Oryctolagus cuniculus: one gene and its partners. The protein of the gene in region 1 binds, or shares a complex with, the protein of each later gene. Links are inferred from orthologs where the notes say so. Each region holds a gene or a part of one and is shown on either strand. Other genes may lie near its edges.

Evidence for each region. Proteins that work in one complex are often made in the same cells at the same time.
Region 2: CWC15 (region 1) and CRIPT share a complex: the UniProt entries of both Homo sapiens proteins name them as parts of the minor spliceosome. The link is inferred for Oryctolagus cuniculus from reciprocal best matches to the Homo sapiens genes CWC15 and CRIPT.
Region 3: CWC15 (region 1) and CTNNBL1 share a complex: the UniProt entries of both Homo sapiens proteins name them as parts of the PRP19-CDC5L splicing complex. The link is inferred for Oryctolagus cuniculus from reciprocal best matches to the Homo sapiens genes CWC15 and CTNNBL1.

Annotation. Positions count from the first base shown.
Region 1 is NC_091432.1:86,189,887-86,196,312, forward strand, and holds the end of CWC15 (spliceosome-associated protein CWC15 homolog), read right to left. Parts: intron 5,630-6,426; coding exon 5,511-5,629; intron 2,134-5,510; coding exon 2,004-2,133; 3' UTR 1,960-2,003; downstream 1-1,959. UniProt on the Homo sapiens protein: Involved in pre-mRNA splicing as component of the spliceosome. Component of the PRP19-CDC5L complex that forms an integral part of the spliceosome and is required for activating pre-mRNA splicing.
Region 2 is NC_091433.1:156,144,762-156,153,210, forward strand, and holds the start of CRIPT (cysteine-rich PDZ-binding protein), read right to left. Parts: upstream 4,898-8,449; 5' UTR 4,761-4,897; coding exon 4,745-4,760; intron 3,057-4,744; coding exon 2,991-3,056; intron 2,338-2,990; coding exon 2,283-2,337; intron 1-2,282. Other genes in the region: PIGF (phosphatidylinositol-glycan biosynthesis class F protein), read left to right, coding at 5,951-5,966, 6,605-6,849. UniProt on the Homo sapiens protein: As a component of the minor spliceosome, involved in the splicing of U12-type introns in pre-mRNAs. Involved in the cytoskeletal anchoring of DLG4 in excitatory synapses.
Region 3 is NC_091442.1:20,958,660-20,966,933, forward strand, and holds the start of CTNNBL1 (beta-catenin-like protein 1), read right to left. Parts: upstream 4,898-8,274; 5' UTR 4,670-4,897; coding exon 4,640-4,669; intron 1-4,639. UniProt on the Homo sapiens protein: Component of the PRP19-CDC5L complex that forms an integral part of the spliceosome and is required for activating pre-mRNA splicing.

The sequences.
Region 1 (6,426 bases):
TTTCACTTAAGTTTCTGTGACTGCCATTTCTAATCCTAGCAACTAACAATGCAAGTGTGGGTCATACCATGCTTTGAGGGGCCACAGAACCTCTTAATTCAGAACCAAACCTTTGTGACAGAACTAAACAAAAGGCTTTGAAATTTTTAGCCAGTTCCTGCTATTAGCAGAGCAAGGTATGAGGAAGAAGGTATGAAGTCCCTAAAATATGCCTGCCAGACACTTGAAGTTTACATTGGTCAATGCCTACAAAACTCCCTCAAGACTACTGTTACTGTTGTTTCTGACTGTGGAGCAAAGCCTGAGGACTAATTAACATCAAGTCAAGCATAGCAGTAGATGGCTTAGCATCAACAGTTACAGGTCTTAGTCTTCTTTCATTAAAGTTTATTTTAACTTCTCTTATGTTTTCCTTCTCCATAAAATGGGGAAAATAATCACGCCTACCTTAGAGGGAGTGGTGTCAATTAGATGAATGCAGCACGGGTGCACTTGGTGGTCATTCAATGTTTGCTGTACTAAAGCCACAGGTAAAGCTGGGCTTCGCACCCAGGCCCACCTGGCTTAAAAGCTCTGGCTCTTTCACACAGCATCAGCATTCGAAGGGTATGACGGACCCCTCAGTCATTCCTATACAAGGTACTTTTGCAAAGAGGACACAGGGCAGTCTAGCTAAGTAGGCTATAAATCTGAAGCCGACACGTTTGTGTGTGTTCTGGGACTGAGACAAGTTCTATGATGTTTTACATTAAAAAACTACTTGGGCCAGTGCTGTGGTTAGTGGAGGAAGCTGCCGCCTACAGTACCAGCATCCCATATAGGAGCCGGTTCAAGTCCAAGCTGCTCCACTTCTGATCCAGCTCTCTATGGCCTGGGAAAGCAGCAGAAGATGATTCAAGTGCTTGGGCCCCTGTACCCAAGTTGGAGACCCAGAGGAAGCTCCTGGCTCCGGATTGGCACAGCTCTAGCTGTTGTGGCCATTTGGGGAATGAACCAGCGGATGAAAGACTTTTCTCTGTGCCTCTCTGTAACTCTGCCTTCCAACAAAAAAAGAAAGAAAACCACATGGATAGGAAGAAAGAAATCATGGAAACTAGCTTTTTTCTGATTCTTCCTGAACCTATCAAGCTCAAATAGGAGAAGTTGCAGCTGAGCTTACAGAAACTTCATTTCCCGGAGTTCTGGCTTTTAGTAGAGCTCGGTTGTGTCCCTCTCACCTCTCACCTGGAAGACATGCCTTCCAGGACAACAAATAAAATCCTATTTCCAACTAGGTTTTCCTTTACTTATTTTTGGATTTGGAATGCCATAGGCTTTTTATCTAATGCACGTCGGTGTGAAAACTCTAATAACTTTCAAGAGAAACATGGCAGCTGAATACCAGGAGAAACAAGTGAGCATCATGTGCATCCTAGAAACGCTTACAGAGCTTCTGTCTCTGATCATGGAGTGCCTGCAGAAGGCTGCACCATTTACTGATGGACAATACTCTTCCATACCAACAGGAGGTCCAACATGGAATTCCTTTAATCTTTCTTCACACTCTTAAAAAATGCACAGATAAAATATTATACATTAATTGATCTTAAATCAATGAGAGAAGTGGGGGGGGGAATTAAACGCACAAAGAAACACAAAGCACATAAGTTTTCTTTTGAAAAGAAAGTATGCAACATTTTATAAGCTGCATAAATTACAACAAAAATTTGGAACACAAATTTAGCTATTTAGATTAAAAATATTTATTACAAGCAAAGTTCCTTTTCTCAATTAAAAAGAAAACATGATTGGAAACACTGATAATGGAGACTGGGTTCAAACTATTCCCATGTCCATTATAAAATAAGGTATGAATAAAGGAAAAGGTATTTTGGGATTTAAAATTAGGGAAGTCTACAAATGATTTAGATGACAGGAAAGTGGGGGTGGATAAAAAGAAAAAACTAACCAAAGCCAAGATGATCCTTAACATTTGAGTCTTTAATTAAGCACATAAAACTGTACTACTTAATATATTTCTCCATAAACTTCTTGTGAAATTCAGATCGCAGTGTATCATTTACAAATCTTTTGTCTTTCTTTTGATCATCTACACCTTTTGCACAGTTCTTGAAGACAACATCATCATCCCACCTAAACAGGGAAAAAACATAGAACACCCTATAACGTTTGTATCAGGAAGGCACCACGCGAACTGCAAAGCTTAGTCTTTATACAGAAATATGCTCGACATGCACATCATTTGATGCAGCAATTATACCCAGAAGATTAACGTAATCCTTAATAATCGTGCTTTATTTTAGCAGGAAAGACAATTCTTACTTAGAGAATGTAAAGTTTGCTGTTTCCCCAGTAAAAGAAACTGAGTTATAAAGCAGAAATATACAGAATATACAGGATAATCCTCATTAATATAGATGTCACTAGATGAGAATAACTGATCAATTTACTATAGTTTAGATTATGACATTTTGAGGATATTATATAATCTTCTTTATTAGTTAATTTAGTAATCATACTATAGCAGTAACATTGTGGGGCAAAAGGAACAGGAACTATCAGGTAGAATAACTAAGGTTCTTATATTGACTCACATCTACATAAACCACAGAAAGATAGCACTTAAAGAGCTCAAGGTAGAACTCTGTTTGCATACTTCTGGGTGGATTTTGTACTGCGTAAGTATTAAAAAAAACACCCGTGGGTGGACTATAAAATAGATGTTAGAGAAAATAAGATAAGATTGCATAACATGACCCAGCATATAAGATATAAGCTCAAACAAATGATACGAGTGTAAAATACAAGCCTATTCAAACGTGGTTGCGTGTGTTGATGTATGTATGCCATGAGAAACGGCACAGAAGAAATAAGAAAAGAATGTGGGCATTTTTGAAATATAGCATTAGTGAAGTCATCATTGATACAATACACAGAAACATAAAAGTGTAAACAGATCAACATGACTAGAATATAAGACATGTTTCCATCTACAAACAATTCCATCTGCATCCAAAAAGGAAAAGAAACTGTTTATCCTTACCTTTATATATAATCAGTAAAATCAATATACATTTTTTTCTATGTCCACTCTCTTCCCAACTCTTTGTCCCTCCTCCCCAACATCAAAATTATCATTCCACGCCACTAAATGGTAGCACTCATTTACGTGTCCTGACACCAATATTTGCCCTAAATGATCATGCCTCTCCTCTTGCCACACCAATCTCTTAGTTCTCTGTTTCACTGGCTGTTCCTTCTCTGTCTAGTTTTCTTCCATTCAAAATTCATTTACTGTTTCAGGCAGTGATAGCTAATCATCGACTCAACCTCTGAATACAACACCATGCTCAGTCCTAGGACTCCTCTCTAGCTATACTCATTCTTGAGGTGATCTTTTTTTTTTATTTTATTTTTTTATTTTTTTTTATTTTTGACAGGCAGAGTGGACAGTGAGAGAGAGAGACAGACAGAAAGGTCTTCCTTTGCCGTTGGTTCACCCTCCAATGGCCGCCGCGGCCGGCGCACCACGCTGATCCGATGGCAGGAGCCAGGTGCTTCTCCTGGTCTCCCATGGGGTGCAGGGCCCAAGCACTTGGGCCATCCTCCACTGCACTCCCTGGCCACAGCAGAGAGCTGGCCTGGAAAAGGGGCAACCGGGACAGAATCCGGTGCCCCGACCGGGACTAGAAGGTGGAGGATTAGCCTACTGAGCCGCGGCGCCGGCCTTCTTGAGGTGATCTTACGCAGTGTCAGAACTCCTATAAGCAGACAACTCTGAAATTTATTACCCCAGCTTGGACTGGAATCATATTAAGTTACCTCCTTAACATTTCCTCAGAGATGCACGTATCCTGCCAAACTTACTGTGTCCTAAGTTTGCCACCTCCCCTAACCCCAACCTTAGTCTACATTCTTCACTATCTCTATCCTTTCACAATTGTTTGGGTCAAATAGCTCAGACTCCAGTCTCTGATAAAAATGTCACCTTGTCAGCAAATCCTTCCTTGACTATGCTGCTGCCTCTGCATGGAGGGAGATTTTTACAGCTTTAGAGACCACTGTAAGGACTCAAGTTTTTACTGCAAATGAGTCAAGAAGCCATGGGAGGTTTAGTAGAGGAGACTGTTGCTGTAAACTTCAGTTTAAAAGGATCACGCTTCTGTGTCAAGAAAAATCTGGGAGTGAAGAGGGTGGCGAGTGTGCAGGAGAACAATTAGGGGCACTGCATCACTATGGAAGACGCAGCAATGGAGATGGTGAGAAATAATGGATATAGTTTAAAAGTTAAGCCTCCAGGCCGGCGCCGTGGCTCACTAGGCTAATCCTCCACCTGCCACGCTGGCACACCGGGTTCTAGTCCCGGTCGGGGTGCCGGATTCTGTCCCGGTTGCCCCTCTTCCAGGCCAGCTCTCTGCTATGGCCCGGGAGTGCAGCGGAGGATGGCCCAAGTGTTTGGGCCCTGCACCCACCTGGGAGACCAGGAAAAGCACCTGGCTCCTGCCATCGGATCAGCATGATGCGCTGGCCGCAGTGCGCCGGCTGCGGCGGCCATTGGAGGGTGAACCAATGGCAAAAGGAAGACCTTTCTCTTTGTCTCTCTCTCTCACTGTCCACTCTGCCTGTCAAAAAAAAAAAAAAAAAAAAAAAAAAAGTTAAGCCTCCAAGAGCCTTGATCACTAAGCTTCCTTCACTCAGCACTTCCTATAAAACTTTATTTTTCTGCATATCATCTAAAATACCATAGATAGTACTTTTTGTTTATAGTCTCTTCTCCTTTAACTCTCTACCTCAGCCCTCCAAACACACTGTACACTAAAGAGTTATGATAGCAGGCTGAGAACTGCTCTCCTTAGAAAGGGCTGGCATTTGGAAACCCAGGTTTTAGGAATCTTCTCACCATCACTGTACCTACAATGTATAAATAATGTAGTTTATACTGACCATTTACTTTCCTTTGTGGAGTCTGGATTTTTTTATTAGGTGCAAGGCAGAAGTTGCCCCACATGACAAACTCCAACAAAAATCTTAGAGACTGAATCTCAGCTAGGCTTCCCTGTGCAAAAGCACTGATGTGCTGCTGCATTTCTGTTGTTGAGGGAACAACGTGCTCTGTATGACTTCTCACGGGAGGGACAGAGTCTCAGGAAACAAGCAGATTCCTCCCATTTCTGCCTGTGTCTTTTCCCCTTATGATTCTGTTGTGTATCTTTACTGTATTAGCCACAAATACAACTACAGGTCAAGTCCTCTGAGTGTCTTTGGGAGACCCTTGACACAAAAATGTAAAATGTAAGCTCTGTGGAGTCAAGGGTTTACCTCATTACTCTACCCCTAGTGCCTGGATCATTGTTTGGTACACAGCTGGTTATTCATTCTCCTCTTTCCACGGCTCCAAAATCTGACAGAAGAGCATCAGTGGAAGATGGGGTTTTTAGAAGCTTTATACAATGTAATTTGTTATCCAACTCAAAATCAGTATACCCATCCAATCCATTACTGAATAGTACCTTCTTTTAACTTTGAAGTTGGCCTGAGGCTGGGATGGGCCAGTGAGATTAAGCAGAGGATTTCCACTCAGAATGTTTTCCATTCGGATCCTCTCTTCTTCAGCTTTTTGTTCTTGTTCCTGTTAAGGACAGAGTAAGATTCAAATTATATTAACTCTAGATCAATTTTCTTATATTATCTGATTGAAAACAAAACAAAACCCGTTTGTATTTTTTCAGAACATCACCAAAACAGGTTTTTGCTTTTTTTTTTTTTTTTTTTTTTTTTTTAAGAAATAAGAGAAAAGTCTCATTTATAAAAAATAATTCGTGGCCAGCGCCACGGCTCAACAGGCTAATCCTCCGCCTAACGGCGCCAGCACACTGGGTTCTAGTCCCGATTGGGGCGCCAGATTCTGTCCTGGCTGCCCTTCTTCCAGGCCAGCTCTCTGCTGTGGCCAGGGAGTGCAGTGGAGGATGGCCCAAGTGCTTGGGCCCTGCACCTGCATGGGAGACCAGGAGAAGCACCTGGCTCCTGCCTTTGGATCAGCGCGGTGCGCCAGCCACAGCGCGCCGGCCGCGGCGGTCATTGGATGGTGAACCAACGGCAAAAGGAAGACCTTTCTCTCTCTCTCTCACTGTCCACTCTGTCAAAAAAAAAAAAAAATCGCAATTTTTATTGTAAATATTTCGTACTGGTCATCATAGTCATTAGTAACTCCTAGCTTCAAAATGTTGAGCTGAATATTTAAATCTATTTTCTCTCTTAAAGAACAAGCAACATTAACTGCTTTAAATTTTCAGAGGATATATAAATACAGTCAGCCAACCTTTTTTTAATTTAAGAACACATTAGGGGCTGGTGCTATGGCGTAGTGGTTAAGCCTCTGCTTGTTACACCTGCTTCCTATACTGGAGTGCTTTTTCCAGTTCTAGC
Region 2 (8,449 bases), on another chromosome or scaffold:
TATGCTTCCCAAAACAAGATGCTTAGAGTACCCCAAAATCACAGCAACTTTCTAATGATATCTGAGCATGTTTGAGAGCAAAAGGACCTGAGGATGTATAAAACCTACAATCTGTTCAAATAACAACAAAAAACTGAATGATCATAGATAGCATGATTAAAGTCAGTCAAGAATATACACTGTGACACTGCATTGAAGATTCAATCTGCTCTGCTGGTCTATAAACATTACTTAATAAGCACCTACTATGTGCTAGGCACTATATGTAGTAAAAGCCTTGTTTTTGTTATTTTGAATCTTCAGGATGATGTCACAAAACAAACACTGTTCATGCAGCAGATGTATACTGAGTACCTATTATGTGCCAGTTACCACTCTAAATACCAGAGATGACCATGAAACACAGCATCCCTGCTCTCATGGAGCCGACATTCTAGAAGCAGGAAGTAAGGAACTTGTCAATTTAATAGAACAAGCTATTCCGACAGTGCTAGGTGTTCCAGAGAGGAGGGGAGGGAGAGAGGAACTGGTTCAGATGCTGGCGAGGGAGCCGTCTCTGAGGAGCTGACATTTCAGCTGAGACCAGTGCAGCAAGGAGCCAGATGAGTAAGCTCTGAGGGATGAGCTCTAGGAAGGAGTGCACAGACCTCTTCAGAGGGATGACAGTAAATGAAGAATGAGGGCCAGTGTGGTCAACAGGGAATCAGAGCAGTAGGAGGCGTCACAGCTCTTAGCATGGAGAACCTGGTAGCACACGAAAGTGTGTTTAGACTTTGTTCCAAGTGGGGTGAAAAAACACACACACACACAAGAGGGTTTTAAGCCAAGGAATTACATGGCCTTTTTACAGGACTACTCTGGAGACTGTGAGGTGTAGGAAACCAGACAGCCAGGGAGACAGAAATGCTGTTACAGTATCTAAGTAAAAAATAACTGATCTGGGGGGCGCTGGCTTTGTGGCATAGGAGGTAAAGCCCCTGCTTGTGACGCCAGCATCCTCTATAGACACTGATTTGTGTCCCGGCTGCTCCACTTCCCATCCAGCTCTCTGCTATGGCCTGCGAAAGCAGCAGAGGATGGCTCAAGTGTTTGGGCACCTGCCACCCACATGGGAGACATGGATGAAGCCCCTGGTTCCTGGCTTCAGCCTGGCCCAGTGCTGGCCATTGTGGTCATCTGGGAAGCGAACCAGTGGATAAAAGATCTTTCTGTCATTCCCTCTTTCTGTAACTCTTTCAAAATAAATAAATCTTTTTTTTTTTAAAGAAATAACTGGTTTGGAACAGCATAATAGTAGTGAGACGGATAGAAGTAGGTAGATTCAGGTTATATTTTGGAGGTAGCTTCAAAGAACTTAGAGTTAGGTATGGGAAGTGGGGGAAAGGGAGCAATCGGTGAGGAATGCTGGCTTCCAGGCTTGAATACCTGGACTGGACAGTAGCGCCACCTACTATCCGAAGACGGAAGGAAGTTACCTGTTAGACATCAAATTGGATAACTCAAGCGACCATCAGATATACACCTAGAGCTCAGAGGAGCAGTCAGAACTAGAGATACATTTGGGAGTCATGAATATACAGCCTGGATTTATATCCAATACACTAAAGTCACTTTTGGAGACTTTATAAATTTATAAGAAAAAGGAAGTCTAGGGTTAAGTTCTAAGGTACCTGAATGAAAAGCAACAGCCAGTGAGGAGCCCCAGAGGCCAAGGGGATAAGGGGTGCCAAACAGAGTTACTAGAGGTTAGGTAAGAACAGAAGAGCAGCCATCCATCTGAAAGGTAACTCACCACCTTGATAAGAGAGTTTCAGGTGAGTGATGGGGATGAAGGAATGACTGGAGTGGCTGAAGGAAAGAATGAGGCTCAAGGACATGGACGGTGTCTGGACAAGCCTTCTGAAAACACTGCCATGAAGGGGAAGGGAGCAAGGAAATGGGCTGGCTTTGGCGGGGTCTCTGGATTTTTCATTTTATCTTCTCAAGAGACAAAGAGACAAGTGGGGGTGGGGGCAGAGAGGGAAAGATTGAGACCCAGATCCCCCATCTGCTAGTTCATGTCTTCTGGTCCAATTATAGAGACCGTGGCACTGGTATCTCCAGAGGCTGACACAGTGAGAAGGAACAGTGCTAACCAGCAGGTTACACCAGATCCCTGGCTCCCTCTGCCAGGACCTCTCATGCTTTGAGCACAATGCAATGATGAACAGTAAATTCACTCCCGCATGCTTAGTCTCAGGAGTGGGAACTTACACGACGGCTCCACAGAGGCTCTTACCCACCTTGCTTTTTTTGAAGTCAAAGCTTTATTTTCATTCAGCTTTCTTCCACCACTTTCTGTATCAAAATATTTCAGTAAGTTATTTCTACATACTTAACATCACACCTACTAATTCAGTTAGAAGTTCATCCTTTGACCTCCCACCATTAGAATAGCCTATATCAAAATTTTTAAATTCTCGTGAAATAGCTAAGTTTTTGAGATGCTACTTAGAAAATATTAGGGAAACAATGACGTTTATGTGAGATGCAGTTTTCTTACTCAGACAGCAAGCAGTACTTTAGGGGTGAGTCTACATTTACTCCATCCACTATAAAATCTAGAAGTTACTACTTTGGTGTCACAGACTCTGAGTCCAGTTCAACTTTCGTTTCCTTCCTGGTGAAAACAGCTTAAGTAATTTTTTTTTTATAAAGAAGATAAAAACTAGGTGAGGAGAGGAGAAATTAAATTCGGACTCTACACTATGACACACTCATCACTTGAAAATATTTAGTAGGTTTGCTATCTCCTGCTTACTATGTTAGGAACCTGTGCATGTAACTGGGAGAACTAGAGAGAAGGCATTAAATCACTGGGGGACCCCGTATATTCTTTATAGACAAGATACTCTGAGAATACAACATCTCACTTTACAAATAAATGTAAAAATATATTATTCACAGGTGGTATTTAATTCAATTTCTGTTTTCCAAAAGAAAAAAAATACCTGTGGTATTTCTTGCACCATCCTTCCATGTATCCGGAGTGATAACAGTGCCAAGTTTCTTTTCACCTGTTGTGATAAAATAGTAAAAGGGGCATTATAACTTGCTAGTTAATAAATACACCACATGGTGCCAAGGCTCCCAATGCCATCAACAGTCATATTACAGTGGGAGCCTGTTAATGCTGGGGTAGAGGCTAGTGAACTGAGATTCAAGATTTTTTTTAAAAAAATTTTATTTTATTTGTTTGAAATGCAGGTTGGGGAGGCAGGTGGTTTCCCATTCACTGGTTGGGAGTGGAACTGGGACTCACATCCAAGGATGCAAAACCCAGACACTCTAATCTGGGATACAAGCATCCCAAGTGACAGACTAACACAAATTACATGGGAGGCCAAAGTTAGAGATTTAAGAACCACACCTAAGAGATGAGACATTTGGGCCAGCACATAATATAAAGATATTTAATTCAAACTTACTCAAATACACACACAAGTCCAAAAACCACTGCAAGTACAAGATGAAGCAGAGTTACAGACAGTCAGTGTCAAGTAAGATCATGCACTTTCTGAAGGGATGGACAGGTCAGCCTATGATCACACTGCACAACTCTGAATATACTGAAAACCAGTGAATTGTACACTTAAAGTGCATGAATTGCATGGCATGTGAATTACGTCTTAATGGTTATTTTCTTAAAGCTTAATGTAAGGCAACAATGGTATGTGGTGTAGTATCCAGAAGGAGGGAGGCATTAGTTGCACTCTGGCCCACATATGGAGCAGAGTTTAATTCTGTGTCACGCAGTAGTGAGTTATGACAGAGGACACACTAGGGACCTTTGTACCAGGCATTACCTATGTCATTTCATGTAATTCTCAAAAAAACCCAAGGCTTATGTTGCGTTCTCATTTTCAGATGGGAAATCTGGGAACACCACGCAGCTTTGCCATGGGTCTGTGTGTCCAGACTGTATCCATCTACCACGGGGATGCCCACAGGTCATGTTCATTAGACCATAATCAGGATTAAGAGGAGTGGAACTCTTGTCACAGAAGAGCCAGAGGGAGAGGATTTGGGAACTTGACAGCTGCTTTTAAACACATAAACAGCTTGGTAGGTCCACAGGGTGTATTTTCTACAAATCTTAAGAGTTTGAATTAAAAACACTGGGTGGCAACCACAGAGGAAAATACTTTCCTCAAGCCAGCAATGCCTCCTTGCAGAGACTTCTTCGTAGGTCGTGGGGGTCTCCAGCCTCCCCCACCCAGATACTGTTTCTTTCATAGGATGGGATGCATTCAGAATAAGCAACGAAGCCAATTTAGTAAGGCACGTCCTAAATAACCGAATGGGGCATACTTACAGCACTAAAAAAAAGTATTCGTTGTTTATCTTAAATTAAAATTCAATTGGAGGTCTGGAATTGCTAGATCTCGCAACTCCACACGCTACAGAAATGACTTTTAAGGTCCATTTTAAGCCTGACGGAGGCGGTCGAGAAGCCGTAACTGATGAGGCGAGAGCCAGAAGGCGGCGACGGCAATGGGCAAAAAGGTGCAGAACTAAGGCCATTCTGATGACAAAATATACGGGATTACACAGTCGATGAGGGGCAGGAAGGGTCACAGGGCAAGGGTGGGAGAACACAGGCTAGACTTAGAGACCTGTGGGAAAAGGAAAAACCAAGTTCCCAGGAGAGTCCGAGTAAGTTCTCCCAGCCTCCTCTCCCCACACAAGCGGCCCCTTAACTCACATTTTTCGCACACCATCTTTCCGCCGACGATTCGCCCTCCTCGCCCCAGAATCAGCCGCAGCTTGAAAACATCAACACTACAGCCTGGGAAGAATTTTCCTTCCGGGCTACGTCAATCTACTTCCGGCCCCTAATCCTCCGCTCCCGCCAATCCTACGCCTGGAAAGCCGCGGGAGGCATGAACGCCAGCGGGTAGGCGGGGCTGCCTCGTTTGTCCGCCCATCCCCTTCTGCGATTGGCTGTGCGACCGTGGGTCTCCGCCCCGCGCGCTTGCGCCTGCGCGTGGGCTGGGGCAGCCCGTTGTGCCTTGATGGTGGGAGGCAGTAGTTCCCTTTCCCTTCGCGGGCGGGAGAGTTAGGTAAGCCCCGTTGGCTGCGTTCTCCTCTGGGAGGTGTGGAAGGCGCCTCCGCCAACTGCCCGAGTGGTCGCGAGCTTGCGCGCCCCCGCCGGCCCTCGGAGGGCCTCCTTCCGCGTGACCCAGGGGCTCCCCTGCTGGACCGCTCCTCTTTCTCAGGCGCGTTCCTGCCCGCGTCCCTCAGCTTTCGCCGGCTGACGGGCCGAGCCCCAGTGACCCGGTGTGGGGTGGGGCTGCGGATGAAGTCCGCGACCCGGGCGGCGGCTGCCCCGGGAGGGCTCGCCGGCGCCCTGCTGGCCGGCGTGGGCGGGCCGAGATCGCCGGCGCCGTGGCGGTGGCCCCGCGAAGGCGCGCCCGGCAGGTGTCCTCGTGGGCCCGCCGAGAAGGGCAGGCGCTTCACCTGCCCGGGTTCCTTCGTTCTTTGAGCAGGCGCTGGAGTGTGGCTTCTGCTGCTGGGATTCCGAGGGTGGCCCAGAGAAAGTAAGGGGGATCTGTTGAGAGAATGGATTTCTGTTCCCCCTACCCGACCCGCAGGCAGCTGAGAGTCTGAGAAACTTTGTCCCTGCTTGTCGCCCGTTCTCTACCGGATCCCTCGTGTGTCCCTTTATGTCTGTAGCGCTGGGGAGCTTGGAACAAGTCTCCTGACTTGTTTTTCTTGTTTAATCAGTAAACTACTTGCCTTTGATAAATGACCGCGGGAATCAAATAAGAGCTATTCGCCAGTGAGCTCCATCCTCTCCCCACCCACATATGCTTTTATGTATTTTTTAGGGCTGTTTCTGTTTGGTGGAATATTCACAGTGTAACACGTTGACTATTTAATAAAGTCTGTACTCCACACTGCCAATACAATGCATAAGCTCTCAGGTAACTAAATACATGAGACAGTAAAATTTTTTCTGCCTCCATTCATGTTTTATTCTTGATTGGAATCTAGCACCTGTAACAGACCTAGTCATTTTGGAAATGCTAGAGTCTAGGGATCCCTTAGTTTAGGGTAATGCTCTTTGAGTTCTTTGGTTGCCTAGGCTGCCACTTGAATATTCCAGTGTGTCCTTGGCATTTACTAGATGTGAAACGCGATGTTAGATGAGGAGGGACACCAACATTTTAGCCAAAGTGTATTCGTGAGGTTTCTAGAAAGCATAGGTTGCATTTCCAACAGAGGCAGATCATTTAATCCATGCAGTGGATTTCACCTTTGATTTCAAAATGGGTGGCTTACCTGGTCCTAGTATGTGGCTCTTGGCAGAAACCAGCCACACATATTTAAGAAATGAGTAAAAGGGTCCCTTTTAGTCTCTGAAATGTTTGTACCGTATTAAAAAAATTAAAATGTTAAGCTTACATGTACATTTACATGTATATATCTTCTTGTGTTTTGAACCAATACAGTGCCCCCAGAAAACTGACTTTGTGTATGGCTGATTTTTAGAGATTGAAATGTTGAAAATGGGAAGAAGTCATGACATGTAATTTTTCTTTTCTTGTTTTTCATTATATAGTCACCCAAGGAAGCACCATGAAAAATACTGATATCAGGAGACTATTTTATGCCCATCTTTTATGCGTGCTTTCTGTTATCCTGAGCACCTTTGTTCCATCATTCTTTTTGGAAAGTTTCTCGATATTGGAGACCCACCTGACGTGGTTGGGCATCTGCTCTGTTTCTGTAACTGCTGTCAATCTAGTGTTATATTTAGTAGTGAAACCAAATGTATCCTCCAAGAGAAGTTCATCATCACATAAGGTAATGTTTATTTTTTTTAGAAGATATCTTTATGTATTTGAAAGCCACAGTTCCAGAGAGGAGAGGCAGAGAGAAAGGTCTTTCACCCCTAGATGGTGGCAACAGCCAGTGCTGGGCCAGGCTGAAGCCGGGAGTTTCACCTGGGTCTCCCACATGGGCGGCAGGGGCCCAGATGTTTGCATCATCTTCTGTTGCTTTTCCCAGGCCATTAGCAGGGAGCCGGACCAGAAGTAGAGCAGCTGGGACTCGAACCAGCGCCTGTATGGGATGCTGGTGTCACAGGTAGCAGCTTTACATGCTGCACGACAGCACTACCCCAAAGCTTTTTATTTTATTTTTTTAAAGATTTATTTATTTATCTGAAAGTTAGAGTTACAGAAAGAGAGAGAGAGCTCTTCTATCTGCTAGTTCACTCTCCAAATGGCTGCAATGGCCAGGACTGGGCCAGGAGCCAGGCGCTTCAACTGGGTCTCCCATGTTGGTGACAGGGACCCAAGCACGTGGCCCATCCCCTGCTTCTTTCCCAGGTGCATTAGCAGTGAGCTGGATTGGAAGTGGAGCAGCTGGGACTGGAATCAGTGCCCATACGGAATGCTGGCGTTGCAGGTGGTGGCTTTAACCCGCTGCGCCACAGCACCTGCCCCTGCTTGCCTGCACCTGCTTGCTTCTTCTTAACTAGTTTGGGCATGGAGCCGGTGTTTCTCTTAATGGAAGAATATATTAGTTGAGTTCTCTGTGAGTTATTTACAGTGAGTAAAGAGATCCTGATTTTTTTTCGAATCAGTAACCTATTACATGCTGGAAGGCTGCCCACAATGTTTGATAGATCCTTGCCATGCATTAACTGTGGATTTATAACTGATTGGGGAAGCTAGCATTGTGAGCTTGTAGTCATTGTATGCCACTATTGAAGATACATACATGTAGCAGGCTATCTTTAATCCTTATCTTCTTTTTATTTATTTATTTATTTATTTGACAGGTAGAGTTATAGACAGTGAGAGAGACAGAGAGAAAGGTCTTCCTTCCATTGGTTCACCCCCCAAATGGCAGCTACGGTGGGCGCTGTGCCAGTCTGAAGCCAGGAGCCAGGTGCTTCCTCCTGGTCTCCCATGTGGGTGCAGGGACCCAGGCACTTGGGCCATCCTCCACTGCCTTCCCGGCCACAGCAGAGAGCTGGACTAGAAGAGGAGAACCAGGACTGGAACCTGGCACCTATATAGGATGCTGGCGCTGCAGGCAGAGGATTAACTAAGTGAGCCACGGTGCCACCCAATCCTTATCTTCTAAAACGTGGCAGTTTATTTTCATTTATTCTTGCATTTCTGAGAGACACTTAATGGATTTGTTAGTAATTTCATGATAGGCATCCATGGTAACTGTAGGTTTGAACATGGCCGATTTTCTGGAATAGTCATTGCAGTGTAACACTTGCTTCTTACTTAACAAAGTCCTTATTTAACATTATTTAACACTCTGTGTAAACTCTGCTAGGTAATTTAAAAAACTTTTACTGCTGTATGATAAGGAAGACTCAGTGTGTGTTTTCTAATTAGTTTCCTGAGCTCTAAGGTGGGTAGGCCCATGTGCTTATTTGTAG
Region 3 (8,274 bases), on another chromosome or scaffold:
GATGACGGCCGAAGTGCTCCCACCCACACAAGAGACAGGAGGAATGACGGGCTCCTGGCTTCAGCCTGGATAAGCCCTGGCCATTGCAGCCACTTGAGGAGTAAAGCAGCAAATGGAAGATCTCTCTCTGTCTCTCTAACTCTGCCTTTCAAATAAGTAACTAAATCTTGTTAAAAAATTTATTCTGGGGCCAGCTGTGGCATTAAGCCATAGCCTGCAATGCCAGCATCACATATGGGAGTCAGTTCATGTCCTGGCTGTTCCATTTTTTTTTTTTTTTTTTTTTTTTGACAGGCAGAGTGGACAGTGAGAGAGAGAGAGAGAGAGACAGAGAGAAAGGTCTTCCTTTGCCGTTGGTTCACCCTCCAATGGCCGCTGCGGCTGGTGTGCTGCGGCCGGCGTACCGCGCTGATCCGATGGCAGGAGCCAGGTACTTCTCCTGGTCTCCCATGGGGTGCAGGGCCCAAGCACCTGGGCCATCCTCCATCGCACTCCCGGAACACAGCAGAGAGCTGGCCTGGGAGAGGGGCAACCGGGACAGAATCCGGCGCCCCGACCGGGACTAGAACTCGGTGTGCCGGCGCCGCAAGGCGGAGGATTAGCCTAGTGAGCCGCGGCACCGGCCTACACCGGATTATTTTCCAGCCCTTCCTGTCAGTTTCTGTCTGCCTCTCAGTGGGAAAACCCCCTTCTGGACCCTTCCTAGCTCCTCTAATAAGGACTCTGTCCTCAGTTTTAGACCCTGTGCATTTAACCTGCTTGTGAGATTTGTTTGCTCCAGGCAATAAAATTCTAGATGGTCATGCACATGAAAGCTCCAATGGAGACAGTTTCTGCGAGCTAGTGCCGCAGCCCCCTTACGCGGCCACCTTCTGCTGGAAGCCTGAGGTCCCTACTCCGCCCATGCTCAGCTGGAAGAACTCAGCTTCAGTCCTTGCCCAAGCCCCTGAAGGCAGCCAGGGTTTCCACAAGCAGAGGGAGGAAACCAGGGAGCCCAGGACTAGAAGCAGGCCAGACGAACTCCATCCCACAGCTCCTTGCCAGCACGTACACACGAAACAAACCAGGAGCGTCCTTTCTCTTTGGCAGCCAGGCATACGGACAGGACTCTCGCTTTCCTGTTTTCCCCTTTGTCCTCATGTTGGTCATCTTTCCACCACGGGCTATGTTTCTAATTTCTCCTTTTATCCTCATAATCATAGTGCTCCCACCCCTACCATGTATAATTAACATATTTCAAAAGGCCGTACAGGAGCGAATGACTGCTAGACCCCAAGTCATCACACAGGAACAACACAAGACTGCTCTTCTTCAATCAACCCGATCCAGAGTGTGGATACCCCGTCCTGCAACAACGCTCCGGATCAGCAGGAAGTAGCCAGAAAGAAACCAGCGCCCCCTCTCCTTATCTGTACTCAGAGTCAGGTCTGATGGAACAAGGACGAAGCCTCAGCCACGTTAGGTTCTCGTTACCCTTCCCTTCTTTCAAGAGACCACTTCAGTCTCACATCCTGTATTGCTCCCCACCCCATCCATCCCCTGCAAAGAACCAGTATGGAGCCGCTCACCCCCCCACTGCCCCCCCACCCTACCCCAGCCCACCTAAGATATAAAAAGCCCAGCCTTGGCCGGTGCCACAGCTCAATAGGCTAACCCTCCACCTGAGGCGCCGGCACACCGGGTTCTAGTCCTGGTTGGAGCACCGGATTCTGTCCAGCTCTCTGCTGTGGCCTGGGCGTGCAGTGGAGGATGGCCCAAGTCCTTGGGCCCTGCACCCGCATGGGAGACCAAGAGAAGCACCTGGCTCCTGGCTTCGGATAAGCATGGTGCGCCGGCCGCAGGGCACTGGCTGCAGCGGCCACTGGTGGGTGAACCAACGGAAAAAGGAAAACCTTCCTCTCTGTCTCTCTTTCTCACTGTACACTCTGCCTGTCCAAAAAAAAAAAAAAAAAAAAAAAAAAAAAAGCCCAGCCTGCTGTGGTCTGGGCCCTCTGCCACTTGTTCAGTCTGTGTGTACACTGGCAGTTGGTTGACCTCTGCGGATTTATTTTCTTTGAATAAATTCGGTCTAGTTGCGAGTTGGTACTCTGTCTCCTCTGTTCTGTACCCCTTTTTCTTACACGTGATGCCTTGTGTGAGGAGGCACCCATCTGCACCCTGTTTTCTTTTAATAACTTTTTTCAATTTTTGTTTTCTATTTATGTATTTGACAGGTAGAGTTATAGACAGTGAGAGAGAGAGAGAGACAGAGAGAAAGGTCTTCCTTCTGTTGGTTCACTCCCCAAATGGCCGCTACAGCCAGCGCTGCGCTGATCTGAAGCCAGGAGCCAGGTGCTTCTTCCCGGTCTCCCATGCAGGTGCAGGGGCCCAAGCACTTGGGCCATCCTCCACGGCCCTCCGGGGCCACAGCAGAAAGCTGGACTGGAAGAGGAGCAACCAGGACTAGAACCCGGGCCCCAACCGGGACAAGAACCCGGCGCCCATATGGGATGCCGGCACCGCAGGTGGAGGATTAACCAAGTGAGCCACGGGGCTGGCCCCACACCCTGTCTTCTTACACCAGCGCTCCCAAACAGGCACACCTCCTGCTGGAACCCTGAATGAACACTCATTCAACAACCCTCCTATTTCCTTCCTTCCTTCCTTCACAGTCTACTCAATTGTCTAAAAGAACTCTGAGTTACGCATACCCCCGCGTGCTCCACAAGTTCTTTCCCCAGACGTCTGGAACCCCCAGGGTGGCGTTTCCGTATATTGGCTAAGGCAGTGGCATGAAAATAATTAGCAATTTATTGAACATTTACACTTTGTCAAGCATTGGTCTACATTTCTCAACAGCAGCCCTATGAAAGGTACCGTCATCGGCCCCACTCACAGATGAGGAAAACAAGGAATAGAAAGGTTAAACAGTCTCTTCAAGGTTACAGCAGCCAGTTAGTGGCCAAATATTCCACACAACCTGGGGCTACAGACACATGGCTCTTAATCACTTATTCTTGACTGCAGAGCTGCCTACTGAAAATATGGCCAACAGTATATGGAACTTACTTTTTTAAATATTTATCTATTTATTTGAAAGTCAGAGTCACAGAAAGGCAAAGGCAGAGGGAGAGGGAAGGAAGGAGGGAGTGAGAGAGAAAGGTGTCTTCCATCCCTTGGTCCATTCCCCAAATGGCCCAACGGCCACGGTTGGCCAGGCCAAAGGCAGGAGGCAGGAGCTTCATCTGGGTCTCCCTGGGTCTCCCATGTGGGTATAGGCAGCTGGATAAGAAGTGGAGCAGCCAGGTCTCAAACTGGCGCCCTTATGGGATGCTGGACCTGCAGGCAGCAGCTTAACCTGCTACACCACAGCGCCGGCCCCGTGAAGTGGAACAACTGGGACTTGAACTGGTGCCCATAAGGGATGCCACAGCACTGCAGGCGGCAGCTTTACGCACTCTGCCAGAGCCAGCCCCTTAGAATTTTCTAGTGGCCACATTGAAAAGTCAGGTTAAAACACTGCCTGCCATGATGGCATCCCATACCACAGCACTCATTCCACTTCTGATCCAGCTCCCGGCTCATGCGCCTGGGAAGGCAGCAGAAGATGCCCAAGTACCTGGGTCCCTGCCGCCCCTGTAGCAGGATGGAGTTCCTGGCTTCTGGCTTCAGCCTGGCCCAGATGTAGCTTGTTGCTGCCATTTGGGGAGTGAACCAGCAGACAGAGATCTCTATCTCCCTCTCCCTCTCCCATTTTCATTCTGTTGCTCAGTCTTTCAAGTAAAAAATAAATACATCTTTTAGAAAGTCAACAGAAACAAGTAAAATTGGTTTTAAATGTATTTTATTTCACCCATTATCCAAAATAGGATCACTTAATCAATATGATCGATAATCAGTGTGGTTGCTAGACTCAGCGTGATCACAAAATCCTATAAAAACACTCCTTTTTTCTCGCTGAGTCTTCGGAACCCAGTGTGATCTCATACTCACAGTACCCCTCAGCTCTGACTGGCCACACGTCAGGGGTCGGGAGGGCGTGCGGCTACCGACCCCGGACGGGCAGGGCGGTTCTGCGGCCTCCCACGCGGAGCCTCTCAGGCAATCAGAGAAGCGATGAATCCCGAGGTTGAAGTCAGGATACCTGCGCTCCGACCCCGGCTCTCACCTGCTCAGGGACCTCGGCCCGGCCTCCCGTTTTCCCACAAGTACCCCAACAAGGGAGCCTTCCTGCTTCCCAGGGGCCCAGCCCAAGCTGGAATTACGAGCATCTCCCAGCAAGGGCGGCCAACTCGGGCACAGCTTTGCACGCTCAGCAGCTGACACAGACCTCAAACAACTCTACTAAGTAGCTGAAACCGTCTCCACTATGCAGATAAGAAAACTGAGGCTAGCGGCACAAACTCAACGACTCGGCGGTGGCGGCCGCTGGGAGAGGACGATGGGAACCAGACCTCTGGATGGGGTGCGAGTAGGCAAAGGGGCTCAGGCCCGGAGCAGGCATAGGAAGGGACTAGCGAAGTTTGCAGGAGTGAAGTGAGATGAGGTCAGAAGCGAGGGGGCCCGGAAGGAGATGAGACGAGGTGAGACCAAGGCACTCTGGCCCTGCGATCTCCGACCCGGTGAGGAGCAGTCTCCCGGTCTCCCCAGTCCCTCATACCTGGTAGCTCAGAAGTTCGCCCACGTCCATAGTTCCCCGTCCAGGCAACAGCCGATCCGCTCGTTCCCTCCACTCAAACCCACACCGCGGGCCGCTCGGCAGCGCTTCCAGCCACACTGCCGAAAAGCGCCCTGTGCCAGGCCCCGCAGAGCCAATAGGGTAAAAGTGCGTGCGGCAGGCGAGCAGCCACACTGCGGAAAAAGGCAGCGCTACCGTAAAGCGCGCCGCAGTGGTGACCGTACGGCTTCCGCCTGGAGCCTGAAAGGGGCGGGGAAGGGGGCGGAGACTTGGAGGAGGGAGGCGTGGGGAGAGAAGGGGCGGCGGGAGCCGGGATTTAATGCGCTCCCTCTCTGTGTAGGGCGGGGTGGTGTGGCCTCACGTGTGCTCTCACAAGCCCTGCGGTGGTCCAGGCGATTTCATCCAGGTAAGGAAACTGAGGCTCAGAACGGCATAGGCCAGCACCATGTTCCACGCAGCCACAGAGTAGCTATCGCGCGCTTGAAATCCAGCCAGAATGCACACGGGGTTTCCAAGACTTAGACTGATGACACGTCGAAATGTTCGGGCCAAATAAAATAGATGAGAAAATTAATCTCTCTCGTATCTTTTGACTCCTTCAACGTGGCTGCAAGATTTTTACATCTGTGGGTCTCATGTGTATTTCCGATGGGCAGGGCTAGCTCCAAAGGTGAGGGGCCAGGGCCTACAGCCAGGACTGCCACCGCACCTGGGGGTGGTCGTGGATTCCTCCCAAGCTTCTGATCATCCAGGCAAGGCCGCTGGGAGCTGATCCAAGTGGTGCAGACGGGTTTTCTGGAGGAGAAACTGCCCGTCACTGGAAGACAATCAAAGAGTGCATCTCATCTTCTGAGACTCTGTCTTCCAGACTCCACCCAGGGAATTAAACCTCCCCATAAGCCCCTGCCCTTCACATTCATATCTATAATCCCATCCCACTGTCTCAAGCTGCACAGAAATTCATTTCATTCTTCAAATCCTCTCTTCTGCCTGGCTGGTAGCGCCACGCCTCATCCAACTCACTGGTCCATCTGATACCAAGTGTCGCCTTCTGAGAGTGGGCTTCCTCAACTCACCACACTCCAAGTGGCAGCGGCTCCCCGGTCCCTATCCTCCCTGGGGCCTGTTCCACGGTCTGTGTCTCAGTCTGTAATTTTGTACTCAACGTTTGGCTGCTTGGTTCTTGTCCGTCAGCCTCTGTGTCCTGGAGCGAAGGCTGTTTGAGAGAAGGATCGTGGGGGTTGTGTGTCTCCAAAGCCCAGGCCAGGGCCTTGTGCGCCTTGGGAGACACTGGATTGTGTGCTCACAGGCATGGGAAGGCAGTTCTGTGATTGGTTTGTTTTTTAAGGCTCGTCTGTACACTCTGCTTTGAACCGAGTTTGCTTCGGGTGACCTTTCTCCTCACTGAGGCAGAACAGACCTGGACACGAGCAGCCCTGTGTTCTAATGTATGATATGCAGGGCCAGCTGGTGTAAGAAGGCTCACACAATACGGCTCTATTTTCAGGACGTTTGGGAGTGTTTCCACACTGTGAACCAGTGACTGCTACACATCGGGGTGGTCACGGTTTGCTGTTGTTTTTACAAAGTCTGTTGTTAAACATCTCCCAGCACCCCCCTAACTGGAGCTAGCCCGAGTTCTACCACGACAGCTAGTGTATGCCCTTGGGCAAGTTTCTCTGTCTCTCTAAATTGCAGCTTCTCACCTGGAAAGTGAATCATTCATTCATTCCCTAAGTATTTTTTTTTTTATTTGACAGATAGAGTTAGTGAGAGAGTCAGAGAGAAAGGGCTTCCTTCCGTTGGTTCACCCCCCAAATGGCCGCCACAGCCGGCACTACGCCAATCCGAAGCCAGGAGCCAGGTGCTTCTTCCTGGTCTCCGATGTGGGTGCAGGTACCCAAGTACTTGGGCCTTCCTCCACTGCCTTCCCGGGCCGCAGCAGAGAGCTGGACTGGAAGAGGACCCACTGGGACTAGAACCCGGCGCCCATATGGGATGCAGGTGCCGCAGGCAGAGGATTAACCAAGTGAGCCACGGCGCCGGACCCTCCCTAAGTATTTAAGTGGGAGAGCTACTCAAGGCCAGATGCAGAGCTGGGCTCTGAGGATTGAGCAGTTTATAAAATGAAGCTCCTGCCCTCCTGGAATGCATTGCCGCTGGAGACGGGGGCAAGCAGCTTCCCCTCTACCTGGCTGATGGCCTCGGCTGCCGCAGGCGGCGATTCAGCTGAATCTCTCGGAAGGGGAGGAGGCTTCCTTGAGATGCTACATGCAAAGCACCTAGCATGATGCCTGGCACACGAAAGAACTCAATCAAGTTTGATGTGACTATTAGTGCGATGGGGCAGGAGAGCAGGTGGGAGGGGCAGGAGCACTCCTTACCCTCTTTCCTTTCCAGGCATTTCATCTTGACTATGCCTTTTTATTTATTCTTTAACACATTTGTTTATTTGAAAGGCAGCATGACAAAAAGAAAGTGAGAATGGGAGAGTTCTTCCATCTGTTGGTTCATCCCCAAAATGGCCTCAACATCCGTGACTGGGCCAGGCCAAAGCCAGGAGATAGAACTCCATCCAGACTCCCAAAGGGGTAGCAGGGACTTGAGTACTTGGGTATCTTCTGCTGCTTTCCAAGTGTATTAGCTGGACACTGGATCGGAAGCCAAGTAGCCAGGCCTTGGCATCTGAAGTGACTACTTAACCCACTGTACCACGGCGTCAATGCCTATGCTTTTTTTATTTTATTATTTATTTATTTTTTAGAAACTAGGCCTTAAGAGAGAGAATTGTAAGGCAAAATGGTCTGAGAACCAAGTTCAGTGAGCACCCTGGAATGAGAATGACCCGGTTTGCCAGGGAAGGTTGCCCAGGGGAGGAGCCGCTGGGCCAGGGTATGAAGGAGGGGAAGAGTGTGTCCAGAGGGCAGGGTTGGGAGGATGGTGACCCAGTGGGGGAACAGCATGAGCGAAGACGTGGGAGAGGAGGGGCGTTTCCTGTGGATGGGCTCTGGGGTGTGTGGAGGACATGGTGGGAAGTGGGCCAGAGAGGGCGGCTGGGGTAGCACATTCAGGACACCCAGCTAAACCTGCAGTTCAGGTCAGCAATGGATTTTTAGCATAAATATATCCCCTATGTTTTCTTAAAAAAGATTTAATTGAAAGTCAGAATTACAGAGAGAGCAGGAACGAGAGAGAGAGATCTTCCATCTGCAAGTTTACTCCCCAGATGGTCATAAAGGCCAAGGCTGAGCCAGGCCAAATCCAGAAGCCTGGAGCTTCATTTGGGTCTCCCACATGGGTGGCAGGGGCCCAAACACTTGGGCCATCCTCTACTGCTTTTCCAAGGTGCATTAGCAGGGAGCTGGATCAGAAGTGGAGCAGCTAGGACATGAACCAGTGCCCATATGGGATGATGGTGTAGCAGGCAGCGGCTTTACCTGCTATGCCACAATGCCGATCCCTATCCCATGTAATATTAATATTAATAATATACTAGAGGGGCCAGCGCTGTGGTGCAGCGGGTTAATGCCCCGTCCTGAAACGCAGCATCCTATATGGGCGCCGGTTCGAGACCCGGCTCCACTTCTGATCCAGCTCTCTGCTATGGCCTGAGAAAG